Schizosaccharomyces pombe: one gene and its partners. The protein of the gene in region 1 binds, or shares a complex with, the protein of each later gene. Each region holds a gene or a part of one and is shown in the gene's direction. Other genes may lie near its edges. The genes, in order: med14, med31, pmc4 and rox3.

Region 1 (5,647 bases):
ACTTTAATCTTAAAATAAATGAATTCAAGCAACTACAAATAATCGATACCAAATCGACAAGTCCTTTCTACGTAGTCCGATAACACAAAGTAATGTTTTCAAAAGAAAAAGGAATTAAAAATTGAAGATTTCAAGACAAATGATTGAAGGAACACTCACTTTTCCTACTAGTATATCTTCTGGTGGTATTGTTTACATTTGGTAGAAGAAGACCTTGCAATTGTTAGTGTGAATGCGATGAATAGCAAACTGCCTTCCACATCACAACCACAACAAGAAACTTAAAAGGAATTCAATTTTTGAAAAGACGGTATCTAAAGAAAATCATATACCAATGAATAACATAACGAAATTAATGAAACAAAAGAATATTTTGACACCTCCTTTGCCTCTGTACCGAAGGGTGTTGAGAGCGCATCGCTATCACCTAGGAGCAGAAGAACGAGCTTTAGGAGATGAATATGTAAAGGCGGAATTTCGAAGACATCGGAACGTAACAAATCCTTTGCATTTAGTAGGATTTTTAAGCTCGTGGGAGAGGTATGCGGATGCACTAGAAAACGAGAGCTGGAAACAGGAAAAATACAGTAATACGGATCTACTAGAATCTTTAAATGACCAGCAAATCGGACAGGTAAGAAAACTTATATTAGATTGAGGTTTATTATTAAAAGAAGAGAACTTTTACCAGTGCTCTTGAACTTATTGCTTCTTTTTTTGGACCTATAGTTTCTAACTATTATTGGCAGTTGTACGAGCTCTCAAAAGCTCTTCAGGAACAGAAAAAGTCTGAGTAGTGGTCGCGGAATCTGATTCTTTATCAGACATCTCTTTGTTATTAGAAGGATTTTGATTGTTTGAGTTGTCGTCATTTTTATTGGCACTTTGAGACGACATCTGCAAATCGTTATTAACTCGAGCATGTGCAAGCTCAACCAAAAACCTATAAAGTTGTTAATGAATGATCTGGACTACTCGTAAAAAAGTGAACGAGATGTTCAACTTCCTCATGGATAAACGTACCATGTTAGCGACAGCCACAAACAGATTGCCAGGAAAAATAAGATGAGACAATGAATACTTTTTGTACCTATATAAAGTCCAAGAAAAACAGCGACAAGTGCACCACAGGCTACGTGTGCTGACTTAGCCAATACAGGTGTGACACCTGGTGTGAAAATTGATTCCCATAGTTCCACCCAATACGACATGATCTTTTTCTTATTGGAATACTACTTGGAAATGTAGTAGCTATGAATTGACGTTGTTAAACCACCGTTTGTGTTCTAGCGATAAAATCTGGCCTTTATAGTGTGCGTGTGCTATTGAATTAATTTAGCAACGAGACCGATGTTGGAGTTCATTAAAAGTTAAAATGGATTTCAAGAAATCCATATCTTATACTACTATTAAAACCGAAGGTTATGCTTCCATTTGTCCAAATTTATTGTTAATAGAGCTTTGAATCATTCAAATGGAATAGTGCTCTACTTTTGTTTTGCTATATTAAAAATTTTTTGTCAGCTTCTTGTGGTCGTGGAGAAAATAATTAAATGATCAAAACAAATGTTATTTTTCGGCTTAGCTCTTCTAAATTACTGTTTTATTATCATTTTAATGAGACACGCTGAAGCTCTGATTAAAATTGATAGCAAAGTTTGAACAGCTTTAATGATGATTTTCGTTCAGTTTAAAGAAGGGGCTTTTTAACTACTATAGAATTACGAGAATCTTTTTGAACGGTTCCATCTCATTTGTTATTCTTCATTATCCATAGTTTCAAACTATGTTTTATGCGATTATCGCATAACAGGGCATGTTTATACTAGCTCAAATTTATTCAAAATCTCCCATTTTAGTAATATCATTGATCAATTATTATTTAATTCCATTTAAAATTGCTTATTTATTGATTATTCCAATTTTTTGAATGAATAAACCTAAGGCGTTTTAACAATCTCAGTGAATGGCGTAACGAAGGTTATCGAAGAGTTTCACGGGAGCTGTGTGAAGTTGCTTTTGGCACGCTACTCGAAGATTTCTGTAAAAGAGATATAAAGAATCCTTTTTAAGGGTTTTTAAAAGAACAAAACTTATGTTTATTACGAAATTTAGTTTTGGTAAAGGATCGGCTAATTAAAGGCGCTATTACACGAAATTCCTAACTCCTCCAATTGAGGATGGAACCGCCTGCGATTCCACACATTACAGAAGGATTTTATCCTCTTCCTGAGATAGTAGAAACTTTTAGTCATCATGTGTTACAAGAATTGGTGTCTTTAGCCGAAGTTCTACCCTCTATGTCAAATGTCGAGAAAAAGAAAAAGATCTTAGATTGGTTATTACGTTCGCGCGCTTTCACTATGCGTTTGCTAGTTTTAGCGCGTTGGGTACATCTATCTCCTTCAGTTCATCGATGCATAGATGTTGTAGCCTTTCTTCAAGGTCAAAAATTTTGCTTCCAGAATTTAGTTCATGTGTTACAAGATATTCGTTACCAGTTGTCATTTGCACGTCTACGCAACTCAGATTTAGTTACTGCATTAGATATTTTGTCAACTGGCACGAGTCTTCGTCTAGCAAATGCTCCCACTTCAAAATTATACATGCTATCTGAATCACCGCTAAGTACCAAACAAATACTTCAAACCCTTCATGCTCTTAACATGCTTATTAGAATTCGTCTTAGTCTTTATGAAATTATTCCGACACCATTTCAACATTTCACAATTGCTAATGGTCGTTGCACATTTACTGTTCCCAATGAGTTTTCAGTGTCTTTGACAACCAATTCCCAAGATCCTAAATCTACCGGTATTTCATTCCAGTGGATTGTTGTTGACTTTCAATTTCATCTTCCTGATTTTTCTTCTACTCCCGCAAAATATCGGGTTTTTATAGAATTGCATCTCAATGAAGAAATCGCTGCTGCATTCGTTCTACAAAAGCCCATCCTACCTTTAATATATAATATCCTTCATAAATTTTGTTTATATCAGCGCCTTAATTTATTGTCACAACAAACTTTTCAACTATCCAGAGAAAGTTGGTTAGGGCATTTGCGCGGTGTCTATGATGAAAAGCCCCCACGGCTACGTCTATACTATTGGCCCCAATTAAATGTGAAAAAAGAAGGAAAACCCGGAAAAATTGGTCATTATATTCATATATTTGTAAATACTCAACCCATATCCGCCTTTGAGCGTACCCTTAGCTCTAAGAGATCCAGTTGTGAATATGATCATTTTTTATTACTCGTTGAATGGCACCATGATGGCATTGTTGAACATGTACCATTAGATGATCATATGGATGCTCAGCATCTACTATTATTAATTACCCAAAAACACGCTCAACTTATTCTGGAACAAATCCGTAAGGAGCTTCACCCAAATATATTTAGTGAACATGTTGGTGGTGGTCTAAAAATTCATGTCTTTGATAATGAAATAATTGTCAAGGTGAACAGCGTTACCGGCAGGCTCGTGCTGTCGAGTTCGGCTTCACCTTTATCACCTCCCAGGCATCTTCGTGCTGCTGAAAAAAATATTGCTTTGAATACGCAACCTCCCGCCCAAATCTTGAATCGGTTGTATTTCTTTTGTATACAAACGCAGCTATTAGAAGTTGCCCAGTGTGCTGAGTTGCATGCAGTTCAAGGTTACTATTCTTTCCCTTATCTTACATTCTCCAAAGGTAAATGGAGAAAAGATGGCGATTCCCTATGGGTACTCGCGTACAACGTTGAATCCAACTCTTGGTCTGTTAGATTGTTGAACGCTGCGGGTCAAACTCTCTACACCCAAGATGTTCATACTACAAAAGGTACTTTAAGTATTGAAAGTTTTAGCCGTCTTTCGTACCTATTGGAAGTCCAAATACTTTTATTCAATGTTCAAACTGCTTGCCAAGCTCGTGGTATGCCTTTTGAATATTTGCCTATTCCACCAAAAGCCCTAATTGAAGATGACTTTACTACATACGTCCAAACAGGATGCTTATGTATTATGATGCCATCGTCTAATGAAGATATGCTTCCTGTGGTTTTCGTTCGCGCGCATGACGGGCAGTTAATTTTTGACTCCCGAATAAAAGGAAAATTGCCGTATCAGTCTGAGACTGAAACTGAAAAGAACTGCTACATAGATTGGAGAACCGGTCGTATTACCATTCGTGTGCAAAATTTTTCATCTTTCGAAAAAACATGGATTGGATTACTTAAACTTGTTGCTTTGTCTAAAACATCTGCATTCAATGTAGATTGTATCACGTTAAAGCATGTGGACTTTACATATCTCGATGATGAGAAATTTAGGGCTACAATTCATGACGACAACACTTTTACCCTTCATTTTTTTAATCGACATAGTCCGTTTCATCTAATTTCTCAGTTTTTGCAGGATACATTTTCTGATGGGCCCTCAGCTATTCAACCATTACGCGTAATTATGGATAGAACGAGAGGTGTTTTAGTAGCTCAAGAATTGGGCTACGTTGTTTTGGCTCGATCTCTGCGTCAGTACAGAATTATCCTATCCAAAAATCATGGCATTCAAGTTCTTTTAAATCGCCATGGATGTATACTCCAAGATTTATCCTACTTATCTGCCGATTCCCGATACTTGGAAGGAACTCAGACTTTGACGTCTCAATGGGAACCTTGTTCATGGCTTAATACTGTTTGGGAAGGTGACTTGGGTGATGATGAGCTTAATGGTCAGATTGAGGCCGCTCCCGAGATGCACTTAATAAAGATGAACAAAACGGCTGATTTAACAGCCATTCTAAAAAGAATTTTAGCGATCTCTCGAAAAAAATGAACTCATATTAAGCTTTTAATCCTCACCCCCTCCACCGTCCATTCCTTTCGGTGGCAGTGATTAGTGATTGTATATATAAATACGGCAAAAAATGTCTGGTTAATGAGGTAAATGAAAATCGTTTTCTAAAGTATACAAGTGAATGTTACATTGATGATACATGTGATTTATATAATCCAACGTGTAAATTAGAGATCGTCGAATTAACGCTTAATCATTTATGAATAAGCAAAAAACTTCCGTAGGTAAAATGAATTTCTATTATAATCGCCATAATCCCAAGTTTATTCAAAGCTGTGTTCTTTTAAGCTAATAAATTTTATATTGAATCTTTAAGTACCGCTGGCATCAACATACGTTGATCACCACTAGCAGTTGCAGTTCTTAAAGCTTCTCGTAAAGCCATAGTAGCGTAAGCAGAAGATGGAAGTACAAATTTTAACGTAACAGCGGTGTGCTTACCAACCTCAGAACTCACTGAAATAGAACGGTTCTCCAATCTATCCTTATCCGTCAAAATCAGTTGTTGTTCCATATTGTCATACTTTATGAAATTAAACTCCATATTTTCAGGACGCACCAAAAGTTTTCGATAATCACCAGGTAATGAAAGTTCTCTGTCTTTGCGAGACATATTTAATGGATCAAGTGATGCCTCATTCATGACAGACTTGTATATATCGAAAGTTTCATTTTTTGGGTATATTACATTACGACCAGGTAAAGGAAGTACTATGTCGTAAATACTAAAGTTATTGACTTCGTCCTCTTCAATCGGACGAGCTGATAATTTTGAGCTCACAGGTAAATCTTCTAGAAGATCAGGT
Region 2 (2,962 bases), on another chromosome or scaffold:
ATTGTTTTCACTAATAGTAACCAAATCGATGGTGACATTCTGGAAACTATCATCATGAAGCCAACCTTTGTTAGCCTTTAACATTATTTCTCCTGAAAAATAGTTAGCAACAATTAAGTGAACGCTTTTAGAAGCAGAAAATCTATCCGCAAGAAGTAATGCTGAATTCCCGCTCCTCTACAAACGAACCTTTTGAATTTTGAACCTTCTTGGTAGCGGCAATCAACCCGCTATCGTTTAAATAGGAAACTACCATAAGAAGATTATCAACTCCAAAGTACAGAGGATCCCATGACACTTTATACTTGCGACCTTTTACCCAACGATCCCCTTGGTTAGGTGCACACATGGGTATATCCGACTGGATATATTTAGAAGGAACACAGTTGTAATAAGCATTAGTCGGTAAACCTTTTGTCGTGGTGATTGTTTTACTAACAGTGCTTTCAGCCGTAGCCAGGTGAGTTCCACTGACTACAGTATACACTTTCGTAGTCCTCAAGTTAGGATTACCGGAAGACGAGGAAAAATCTATAGGTTAGTGTTATGCTTAGTGAATGAAAAAAAAAAAGAAAATCTGGTTAGCAAACAAAGCAAAAAACTCATTAGAACATACAATCTCCTAAAACTACTTGAAAGAAAAGTGAAAACAGAAACACTGATCCACAAATAACTTTCATTGTAATTTAAATGTATGAATGAAAAACTTTAGTAGGGTTCAGACAGTGATAACAACCCGAATATAGAAAAATGACAAAAGCGGTAATATACGAGGATAAAGACCAATTATGCAGCCAAACAGTATTCCTTTCTTGAAAAATTATTGTTTAAGCTTATATAACATTAATACCAACCGGAATTGCTGATTTCACGAGATACTCATAAATTCCGCTGTGTATTGGCAGCGGAAAGGTTTGAAAATTGAACGACTTTATACCTCAAGAGCCGAATATGAATAACAGTTTATTAAGGCCTATATATTGAAAATTAATATTAACTTAATAACATTTTAAATAACCAATGCATCTCTACTATGCCATAAAAATATATTCTTAATCTTATCCGTTTTTTGTCAATTTGATTGAAACTACAGATCTAGAGGGTCAGTTTACTGTTGAAAAAAAGGTTTCAGTGTATTTAATTATAGCTTTCCTTTTGTCAACAAGTCTTATTAAAATTGAAAGTTCTACGCTCATCATCAATACGAAGAAAGCAATACTTATTGTGGATAAAAATGGTATCCACAAAAAATTGAGTTAGACAGCTTTAATGAGCAATTAGAAATTTGAAGTTGACTTTAAGATTTCAACTAAGTTGTTTTGACATTGTTCCAGATTGATTATTAACACTTGTAAAATTAAACAGCTTAAATGGGAGAAACCATTTAGAACCAATTTTTCAACTAGAGAATTTTAATTTAATTAAGAAATAAATTGCCCGTTAGAATTGAATTTGTTTACTCTTTCAATTTTCTACTCACCATTTAGGGAGCCCACTATTCTTTACATATCCCGTAGCGTTACTAGTGGTAGCACCAAAACCAAATTTTACCAAATATACAGATATATGGTCAAGTAATTGTTTCGATTCAATGGAAACAAAATGGTTACTTTCAAAGGTTCCCGATGATAAGAGTCGGTTTGAAATTGAGTTAGAATTTGTACAAATGCTTTCAAATCCATGGTACCTAAACTTCCTTGCCCAGCACAAATACTTTGAAGATGAGGCATTTTTACAGTACCTTGAATATATGGAATATTGGAGGGAACCAGAATATGTGAAATTCATAATTTATCCAACTTGCCTGCACATGTTGACTTTATTAAAAAATCCGCAATTTCGCAACGACATTTCTAGAGCGGATTTGTCAAAGCAGGTTAATGATGAAATTTATTATGAATGGTTAGGAAAAGGTTTGCAGCAATATGGTAGTGCCGACGATGCTACTTTGTCTCAGCCGCAGCAAGAGGAAGATGAAAAGAAAGTTGACGTGAAAAAGGAAAATGAATGAAAAGAGGATGTATGTAGATATTGAGATAGTTATGGTAATATCCACTTACTTTTTTCTCACATTTTTAAATTTCAATATCCAAAATCAAGCAAGATCTCTTATACAAGCATGTACTTGAGAAACTCCTGGACCTATGAAACTTCAATAAGTACAAAATCTTTACGGATCACTTCTGATTGTGTTTCCTGTGCTTTTCAGTTTGCCAAAATGGATTGAATCGGTATGAGATAAATTCTGTTGAAAAGTTTGACTGCAAATTAAAACACATTTACACAATACAGAGTTTTTTAGACTTTTATTTTTGTAAATCATATTTAATGCCATTTTATGCAGTTTCAGAAGTGTTCTGTAAGCATTTAGACTAATAAATAAAGAAGCATTAAGTCTAATTTTTTTGATAATATATCCAAGAAAATCATGTTATTCATACCTATCATATCCTTATCATGAGAGTTATATATTTTTGTTTTTGCATTAATTAGTTGTTTTTAGATTGCTTATCCTTCATTAATCGTTTTTCCAGTAAAACAAAGGCTTTCAACTGAGGAGGTAGCTCTTCCAATGAGCTAGTTTCCTTTAATGAAACCTTTGCTAAATCAGGAGGCACGGGTAAATGTTTATCTAAATAATGCCTTTTTGCTTTTCTTCGTGCACGATTGTATTCCTCAAGGTCATCAGCATACACATCCCAAACACATATAGCGCAACCACTTTGGCAACAATTCAAAGGCTCCTCGGGTTTTGGAGGTACTCTTATGCCATCGTAAATACGACTCACATTCCCTATAGAATAAGAACGCAACGACGCTGGTCCCTCCTCCACTGCTAGAAAAGATACATTGGGCTCTATTTCAAAATGAAATTTTGGTTTTGGTTGTTTCAATAATTCTTTAAACAACGTTAGATGCATAAAAATCACGACTATATACCGTACGTCGATAGAATTTTAAA
Region 3 (4,187 bases), 1.5 Mb from region 1:
TATAGCTTCTTGGGGTGTTAATGTTTTGCGTATTCCTATTGGGTATTGGGCCTTTAATGTGGTAGACGGCGAACCATATGTTCAAGGGCAAGAGTACTGGCTCGATCAAGCTCTTACTTGGGCTGAACAATATGGCCTTAAGGTTTGGATTGACTTGCATGGTGTTCCAGGCAGCCAAAATGGATTTGAAAACTCTGGTAAGACTGGTTCCATTGGATGGCAGCAAAATGACACTGTAACTCGTACTCTTGACATTATTACCTATGTTGCTAATAAGTATACCCAATCTCAATATGCCAGCGTGGTTATTGGAATTGAGACGGTAAATGAGCCTTTGGGCTATGGTCTGGATATGGATCAACTTAAGCAATACGATTTAGATGCCTATAATATCGTCAATCCTCTTTCCAGCTCTGTTGCTACTATCATTCACGATGCCTATGTTGATCTTTCTATTTGGGATTATGGTGTTGTATCTCCTTCTTCATACAATCTTGTTATGGATGTCCATCGTTATCAACTTTACGAGTCGGATGAGTGCTCAAAGACTCTCGATGATCATCTTTCAGATGTTTGCTCCATTGGTGATTCCATTGCTTCCTCTCCCTACATTACTGTTACTGGCGAATGGTCCGGAACTTTAGCAGACTGCACGATTTTCGAAGAAGGAGTTGACTCTTCGACATTTATTGGACCAAACAGCGGTGATATTTCCACTTGGACGGATGAATATAAGGGAGCTGTTCGTCTGTTTATCGAAACTCAGTTAGATCAATTTGAACGCGGTGCTGGTTGGATTTACTGGACTGCTAAAACTGGTGGACCAAGTCCTACTTGGGATATGGGATTACTTATTGAATACGGCGTATTCCCTCAACCTTTCACTGATAGACAATATAGCTCTTACTGCGGTTAAGCAAAGCCATATCAAAGTTAAAAAAAAATTTTATCTATTCTAGCTGTATAACACTAATTTATATCTCACACATCGTTGTCATGTCCTGTCCTTGCATTTATCATCTACTATCATTTAACGTGCTGCTATCTACTATCCATTCAGTCTTTGTTTGTTTGGCATTATCTTTAGACATTAGTTTTTAATATATATTGTTGTTTTCGAAATCTTTTAGTTATGTGATATTAATATTTTGGTAGCAAGTTCCTACTAAATTAATATTTAGCTTAATAGTTTACGTTCAATATTGCATATTTTTTCGAACTCTATATTAACAGTAGCTGTACTTTGGAGAAAGTTGACCGAGAAATCTTTTTAAAGTTGTCCAATTGAATTTTCAATTATCAAGTATCTTCAGTTTACTTATATGAAATGTATTTTCTGCTCTACTCTTATAAGTCAGTATTGAGCCACATAGACGGACCACTTTGAGTTAGTCTCGGAAAAGCAAATCGACAGAATAGGTTTTCACTCAGCCACAGGTGACATATGTTTAAAATACTTTTATAAAAATTACATTTAAATTGAGCGATTTCTTGGTAAAGTAATATTACACATTTTCTGATCTGATATAGGCTTTATACGCATTAAACGAAATAAGCTCATTAAGCATTCTTTAACGAACTCGCTTTTTTAATTTAATGAGATATCTAATTCACTAGTATGTATTCATTATGTTGTCCCTAACAAGATCAAAATTGTTACACTGTAAATGTAACGTAGTTTGTCGACTAATTTATACGAATAATAGCTTTCTTCTTGCCCAAATTAGTGAAATTTGTTAGACAATTTAAACAATTAAAATCATATACAGAATTAAATTGACTAATTCTATTTAATCGAGAGTAACTTAAGTATTGTTCGTCGAGCGTATATACCAGCTGCTACTTATTGCCCTTGTGGAGGAGGACATTACTGTAATTTACCGTGTTTTAGCACATTAAACCTTTTAAGGATGTCTGTTTAACTAACGGTTACGGATGTTTAAGGAGTAAAAAGTCGAGTCTGCAAAATAACTGTAACCTGACCTACTAGATGATCGAGCAATTGTTGAGTAGTTAGTATATAGTAATCACATATGCTCCCCAATGGAATATCAAAGAGCCATTGATTCTATTGAAGAATGTCTCAATAAACAGTTAAGACTGTCATCCGAAAAGGTTGACCAATATGTACTAATAGAAAACTGGACCTCATTAGTAGGCCACTTGAAAACCTTACACTCTTTAATATCAAATTACACAAATGGTAGAGAATTACAAAATGAAATTAGTTCTTTGCTGAAGCAGGATAAGGAACTGGATTTACAAATTCAAGACTGCATGAGAGAAATGACCTCAATTTATGATACCCATCTTCCAAAAACAGTGTCGGGGAGAAAACGACAAAAAGTTAATGCTGAAACACTCCTTGATTATGGTAGAAAACTTTCCAAGTTTTCCTCTGCACCTCCTGGGTACAATCCCGAGACGGGTCAAGATGCAAAAGCTCCTGTGCATTATCCTTGGCCATCGGAGGACCAGATGCGAAAAACTCTGTTGTTTCAGTTTTCAACTAGCATGGTTCCAAATTTATCGGCTACAGCGTCCCAATTATTTTCTGAACAGCCTCCAAAGACGAACGAGCCAACGGAAACAGAAACAGAAATTGATGCGAACAAAGCCGTTGAAGAAAAAACTAAAATGAATTATCCTGCCTCTCCAACATTCACTACGCAAGAGGAAAATAAAGAAGTAGAATCGCCAGCTAATAAGGATGTCTTTGCAGGATTTGATCTTTTTGATCCAGAAATGGAAGAAGATTTTTGATTCTAAATTGTGTTATTTGTCAAGTGATATCTGGTATTTTACTTTTCTAATTATAGAGTTTTTTGCTTTGACCAAATACCCTTTTGTTTTAAAAATGAATAAAATTACGCTTTGCCGTTTAGACTGTATTTATTTAGCTTTCAGACTTCGCAAAGCAAGATGATTGAACACTGTTCCTTGCTTAACATTTGTCAATTCAAATTTAATTAATTTTAAGTATAATTTTCGAACAATCTACGTTTTCTGAGTTCATTTAATTATGCGTTAGCATGAAAAAATTCCTTTTCTGCGTGATCATTCCTTGCTATGGGCATAAGGCTCTCTATTACAGAAAAACCGAACGATGGGTCTTTTTTAAGGACTAAAGTTGATGATGCATGAATGATATAACCTTTAATATATCCTTGGTCAATTAGAGAAACACAGATACATTCGACATCGTCCATGTCATATGAGTTATCATTTGTACTTAAACGGGCCGCGGTTAACAAGTAAGAACCAGATACGTGCGGGGTTTTTTGGCTTTGCTCAAAAGTAAAAAGAAACCTTTTTAAATTAGTCGAATATTTTAAAAAATCTCAAACGTACACCTTTCTAAATAAATTCCTCCACAGGATGATTTCACATCTATCCAATAAAGTTAGATATATTCCTCGTTTGATAAACCATTTCCTCCTGGAATTGTCCTCCAAAGATAATCTGAACGACTTGATATCACCACTTTTCAAAGCTTTTATTAAAGGTTCGAATGCTGCAGTCAATTTGTATTTTTCTAATAGCCCTTTTGTTGGCGATTTTCCTAATATAAGTAAACACGTTGTAAGATAGATTAGAGAAAGCCTTTTTTGATTAGTAAATATAAACGAATCCTATTTTTGAGTAAAATAAAACATACCTTTTTTGATGATAACACTCATCAGGGCACTGAAGAAACGAAAAAAGTAGATGGTCCTTTGCCTGATGAATTTTGCGTTGATAAAGATGACACCTTCCTAAATAATAACGAAACGTTACTAATTCCGCCATTGTAGCGCGAGAAATATCGGCACCCGAAGAGATGACATTAGCTTGAATAGTTTGGCAAAGACGAATTTGCTTTAAGCGAAAATATAGTAAACAAAGTAAATTGGCAATACAGAATATCGCATCCTTCTTCGAAGGGTTAATGTTTTGTTGACGATCACTCAGTATACTATTGAACGTTCGTAAGACGTTCCTAGATGCATCGCTCACGTATTTCCTCTGTATGAACCCATTACCATCAAAAGAATCTTCTAAAGTAGGTGTAGATGTATCTAGCTGAAGGGAGAGCTTTACATAAAGCTTTGAAACGCGTTTTACAATTGTACACAACCATGCTCCATCGATATGGGAGAAGCAAGTTGTCAAGTTACTAGAAAAACAAAAGTGAGAAATAATAAACA
Region 4 (3,427 bases), on another chromosome or scaffold:
GAAGAAACTCCAGAAGCTTCAGTAGTATTTAATTGCACTGGTCTCTGGGCTTCCAAATTGGGTGGCGTTGAAGACCCGGACGTTTATCCGACTCGTGGACATGTTGTTTTGGTTAAGGCTCCTCATGTAACAGAAACTCGCATTTTGAATGGCAAGAACTCTGATACCTATATTATTCCTCGTCCCTTAAATGGTGGAGTCATTTGCGGCGGTTTCATGCAACCAGGAAACTGGGATCGTGAAATTCACCCTGAAGACACTTTGGATATCCTTAAGAGAACATCGGCTTTGATGCCAGAATTGTTCCACGGCAAGGGTCCGGAGGGTGCTGAAATTATTCAAGAATGTGTCGGATTCCGTCCTTCTCGAAAGGGTGGTGCCCGCGTAGAGCTTGATGTTGTTCCCGGCACCTCAGTCCCCCTTGTTCATGATTACGGTGCTTCTGGCACAGGATACCAAGCTGGTTATGGTATGGCTCTTGACTCTGTCATGTTGGCTCTTCCTAAAATCAAATTGGCTTAGGTTTATTTTTTTATCACGTTTCATATTTTTTAGAGCATTATCTCCCCTCTTTTTATTAGGATAATTGGTCGCTTCATTTGAGGTAGTTTTTATACCAAATTTCGAACCATGTTTTATAGACTTAACGGATTTGTTAAAACGCATTTCAATTCTACGATACACGTGTACAAGTAGTTCATTAGCTTTTGAGAGTTGCTAAATCATGAGGATGAAATAGCATTAGAATGTTGTACATTACCTTTACGTTTTTTGACGATTATTTAAAAAAATTTACATCTTTTGAGAATAATCTGAAAGACTAAAGTGCTTGGCATCCTTAATGCGAGCAAGTAAGGTTCCTTTCCTTCCGTGCCCTTGTTGTAGAAGCATTAAAATAGACTGAGCTTGATTCATATTAACGGTGGCATCTTTGTAGCTTAATTAGTAATTTTTGGGCCTTTAAAGAAGTTTTTCAATCCTCAATCGCAATATCCTAAATTCACCTATCCGCGACCAGCCTACCGTTTGCATACCACAGGTTTTGGGTAACTATCTAAACCAACTGTGAGGGAATTTAATTGTAATAGTTTATTCATTTTATATTATTTTATTTTGCTTTAATCACAATAATTTGATTAATCAGCTGCTTTTCGTCAGCTCATACAAATTACCAAGAGAAAGGAAAGCTTACATCCCATTATGGCTAATAGAAAGATTTTTCTTATTACATCTCTTATAATATCGTTATTGCTTATTCATATCTTCATATTCAGTCCACTGAATGAACCTGAGAAAAATGCAAAGGCAGGACCTTTAGGTCTTTCAGATGTCTCAGTGCCATCTGCTCCTAAATTACCTGCTAAGGATTCAACAGATTTTGAAGTATTTCTTGAAAACCCTGTTATCATTTTTAGTCGTCCTGGATGTCCTTATAGTGCTGCAGCTAAAAAACTTCTAACAGAAACCCTTAGATTGGATCCTCCAGCAGTGGTTGTAGAAGTCACCGACTACGAGCATACTCAAGAGTTAAGAGACTGGCTTTCTTCCATTAGCGATATATCTACAATGCCCAACATCTTCGTTGGTGGTCATAGCATCGGTGGATCTGATTCGGTCCGTGCTCTGTACCAAGAAGAAAAACTTCAGTCTACTTTGGATGAATGGACACATAATAAAGTTTTAATTTTACCTACCGACTAATTTTAATTTTTCAATATATGTTTTGATGCAATTTATTAATTACAATTTATGTTAAATCGATTACCCTTGGAAGTAACTCAATAATTATACTAGCCAAGTATGCTATAGCTTCTTTAAACCACCAACCACTACTCCAAACTATCCAGCTAAGCAACTTAGAGAGTAAAGCATTCATTGCATATATATTTAAAAAATTTGAATGCAATAATATATTCTTATTGTTACATTGGTCAATTTATTTGCATGGCGCAAGCTCCTGAATACCACTATGTAGGTAGTGTAGACTACCAACCGACGAGGCCTTCTGCCCATCAGAATTTAATAGAGCTTTATGGTCTTACGGAACTTGCTAAAAAGGTTGGACGTGTCGATGAATTTGGTAACAAGAGAAAGATGCGTCGTTCGTACAAGGCTTACATCCAAGACTTGCCAGGTTATAATGAAATTCTTCGTGATAATACTATAAAACAATGGCTTACAAACCCTATTCGAGAAGAAGTTCCTATTGACATTGAATTTTTACATCATGTGTTCTCTGTAGAGCCAGGCATTATTCCAGGTTTTAATCCTAAAGTGTTTGGCCTTGAAGACGACGTTGTAATGGGCAATGTTAGTCGTGATTCCTCTCAACCTCGTAGTCCAAGTCGTAGAAAGAAGTAATTGATGAGCCATCAATTGCTCATCAAATCCTAGAAAGCTGTGAAAGTTTGCTTTAAAACTGCAGGTCAAATCCTTAATGCTCTTGCCGAATTTTACTAAACTTGTTGCTTTTACTGAAACTTGTCGATTCTGCTTTCCATTACTCAATGATTGTACTCAGAAGAGCGATAAATATTTGAAGCTCTTTCTGCGGGTTCAGTTATCTGCTGTTTTCAGAGATTTTTCATCGTTTCAAAGCATGGAAACAATACCAAATGATTTAATTACTCTTTAATTTGCGGTCTAGAAAACTTATTTATTACATGGCGTTGTTTCGTTTTTAAAATTCATCTTTGTTTTCTCAGGTTTATTCCTAAGAAGTCGCTTTTAACTTCAATAGTTTAATCTCGGTGATTCTACTAGATTCTCAAGAGACAAATTACTTAAATTCTTTTTCTCATCTACTGTTTAATGTATTCTTAACGTTGTTAACTGAATCATATTAACTTATGTTCTATATGTTGCTAGTTGTTTTATTCATTTTAGTAATACATTTTCAAAGTTATTTTTCTTCATATACATTTCATCGTAAAGAGTATTTTCTAAATAATACCCAATTTTGAGAAGTGTAAAACAATTGTCGAAATAGTAAAAATATGAGTTGATCTACGCAGGACTGTTGCAAAGAACCGCAGCATAAAAAAATGGTATTGGATCATCCAAATTAAACAGATTGTTTCACTTACTGCCCATACATTACAGTCATCAATCGTAAATACCCGACTGGGCTTTAGAGACGTAATTTCAGTATTCATGATTGATGCAAAAAAAATAACTTGTCATACATTTCTATGTCAATTACCATTGCTTGAATTGCATAAAATACACCGTTCGAACCCCATATTTCTTAATTATACAGATTTACACGCTTACAACACGATTGAGGTAAAAAAATCGTACTTTATGAAACAATCGATAGATATAAACCAAAAACAAATTTAATTATTTGCTTTCCCATATCCACACATTCCCCTCTAACATTAGAATATAGAGGAGAAGATCCTTTTGTAATTCCTAAGGACCTCCC

Evidence for each region.
Region 2: med14 (region 1) and med31 share a complex: the UniProt entries of both Schizosaccharomyces pombe proteins name them as parts of the mediator complex.
Region 3: the proteins of med14 (region 1) and pmc4 are in contact, whole or in part, in a crystal structure (PDB 5N9J), measured with the Schizosaccharomyces pombe proteins. Residues at the interface, in NP_595813.2 of Schizosaccharomyces pombe: Ile9 (codon at 2,205), Thr10 (codon at 2,208), Glu11 (codon at 2,211), Gly12 (codon at 2,214), Phe13 (codon at 2,217), Ile81 (codon at 2,421), Val84 (codon at 2,430), Gln88 (codon at 2,442), Lys91 (codon at 2,451), Phe92 (codon at 2,454), Gln95 (codon at 2,463), Phe110 (codon at 2,508), Arg114 (codon at 2,520), Asn115 (codon at 2,523), Ser116 (codon at 2,526), Asp117 (codon at 2,529), Leu118 (codon at 2,532), Thr120 (codon at 2,538), Ala121 (codon at 2,541), Leu122 (codon at 2,544), Ile124 (codon at 2,550), Leu125 (codon at 2,553), Arg132 (codon at 2,574), Gln153 (codon at 2,637), Gln156 (codon at 2,646), Thr157 (codon at 2,649), Ala160 (codon at 2,658), Met163 (codon at 2,667), Arg166 (codon at 2,676), Ile167 (codon at 2,679); in NP_596462.1 of Schizosaccharomyces pombe: Leu65 (codon at 2,236), Asp68 (codon at 2,245), Asp72 (codon at 2,257), Gln76 (codon at 2,269), Met79 (codon at 2,278), Arg80 (codon at 2,281), Thr83 (codon at 2,290), Tyr86 (codon at 2,299), Thr88 (codon at 2,305), His89 (codon at 2,308), Pro91 (codon at 2,314), Lys92 (codon at 2,317), Thr93 (codon at 2,320), Gln100 (codon at 2,341), Lys101 (codon at 2,344), Val102 (codon at 2,347), Leu107 (codon at 2,362), Leu108 (codon at 2,365), Tyr110 (codon at 2,371), Gly111 (codon at 2,374), Arg112 (codon at 2,377), Leu114 (codon at 2,383), Ser115 (codon at 2,386), Lys116 (codon at 2,389), Ser118 (codon at 2,395), Pro139 (codon at 2,458), Met199 (codon at 2,638), Asn200 (codon at 2,641), Tyr201 (codon at 2,644), Pro202 (codon at 2,647).
Region 4: the proteins of med14 (region 1) and rox3 are in contact, whole or in part, in a crystal structure (PDB 5N9J), measured with the Schizosaccharomyces pombe proteins. Residues at the interface, in NP_595813.2 of Schizosaccharomyces pombe: Glu2 (codon at 2,184), Pro3 (codon at 2,187), Pro4 (codon at 2,190), Ala5 (codon at 2,193), Ile6 (codon at 2,196), Tyr14 (codon at 2,220), Ile19 (codon at 2,235), Thr22 (codon at 2,244), Phe23 (codon at 2,247), His25 (codon at 2,253), His26 (codon at 2,256), Val27 (codon at 2,259), Leu28 (codon at 2,262), Gln29 (codon at 2,265), Glu30 (codon at 2,268), Leu31 (codon at 2,271), Val32 (codon at 2,274), Ala35 (codon at 2,283), Leu38 (codon at 2,292), Pro39 (codon at 2,295), Asn43 (codon at 2,307), Val44 (codon at 2,310), Lys46 (codon at 2,316), Lys47 (codon at 2,319), Lys48 (codon at 2,322), Ile50 (codon at 2,328), Leu51 (codon at 2,331), Leu55 (codon at 2,343), Arg56 (codon at 2,346), Arg58 (codon at 2,352); in NP_588304.1 of Schizosaccharomyces pombe: Thr18 (codon at 1,996), Arg19 (codon at 1,999), Pro20 (codon at 2,002), Ala22 (codon at 2,008), Leu26 (codon at 2,020), Leu29 (codon at 2,029), Tyr30 (codon at 2,032), Gly31 (codon at 2,035), Leu32 (codon at 2,038), Leu35 (codon at 2,047), Lys38 (codon at 2,056), Val39 (codon at 2,059), Tyr55 (codon at 2,107), Tyr58 (codon at 2,116), Asp61 (codon at 2,125), Leu62 (codon at 2,128), Pro63 (codon at 2,131), Asn66 (codon at 2,140), Leu69 (codon at 2,149), Arg70 (codon at 2,152), Asp71 (codon at 2,155), Thr73 (codon at 2,161), Trp77 (codon at 2,173), Leu78 (codon at 2,176), Asn80 (codon at 2,182), Pro81 (codon at 2,185), Ile82 (codon at 2,188), Arg83 (codon at 2,191), Glu84 (codon at 2,194), Glu85 (codon at 2,197).

The regions. Positions count from the first base shown.
Region 1 is NC_003423.3:1,995,462-2,001,108, reverse strand, and holds med14 (mediator complex subunit Med14), read left to right. Parts: upstream 1-2,015; 5' UTR 2,016-2,180; coding exon 2,181-4,820; 3' UTR 4,821-5,103; downstream 5,104-5,647. Other genes in the region: sdh7 (ACN9 family protein), read left to right, coding at 335-634, 750-797; V-ATPase assembly factor Pkr1, read right to left, coding at 733-943, 1,024-1,211; pus7 (pseudouridine synthase), read right to left, coding at 5,140-5,647. UniProt on the Schizosaccharomyces pombe protein: Component of the Mediator complex, a coactivator involved in the regulated transcription of nearly all RNA polymerase II-dependent genes.
Region 2 is NC_003421.2:525,320-528,281, reverse strand, and holds med31 (mediator complex subunit Med31), read left to right. Parts: upstream 1-1,533; 5' UTR 1,534-1,591; coding exon 1,592-2,011; 3' UTR 2,012-2,423; downstream 2,424-2,962. Other genes in the region: protein psg2, read right to left, coding at 1-92, 190-531, 617-680; SPOM_SPCP31B10.02 (uncharacterized protein), read right to left, coding at 2,490-2,921. UniProt on the Schizosaccharomyces pombe protein: Component of the Mediator complex, a coactivator involved in the regulated transcription of nearly all RNA polymerase II-dependent genes.
Region 3 is NC_003423.3:3,515,446-3,519,632, forward strand, and holds pmc4 (mediator complex subunit Med4), read left to right. Parts: upstream 1-2,015; 5' UTR 2,016-2,043; coding exon 2,044-2,763; 3' UTR 2,764-3,020; coding exon of another isoform or gene 3,021-3,309; 3' UTR 3,310-3,351; coding exon of another isoform or gene 3,352-3,603; 3' UTR 3,604-3,644; downstream 3,645-4,187. Other genes in the region: cell wall glucan 1,6-beta-glucosidase Exg1, read left to right, coding at 1-916; TREX/TREX2 complex subunit Pci2, read right to left, coding at 3,021-3,309, 3,352-3,603, 3,659-4,156. UniProt on the Schizosaccharomyces pombe protein: Component of the Mediator complex, a coactivator involved in the regulated transcription of nearly all RNA polymerase II-dependent genes.
Region 4 is NC_003421.2:1,733,701-1,737,127, reverse strand, and holds rox3 (mediator complex subunit Med19), read left to right. Parts: upstream 1-1,815; 5' UTR 1,816-1,944; coding exon 1,945-2,361; 3' UTR 2,362-2,868; downstream 2,869-3,427. Other genes in the region: dao1 (D-amino acid oxidase), read left to right, coding at 1-522; CIA machinery monothiol glutaredoxin Grx3, read left to right, coding at 1,201-1,701. UniProt on the Schizosaccharomyces pombe protein: Component of the Mediator complex, a coactivator involved in the regulated transcription of nearly all RNA polymerase II-dependent genes.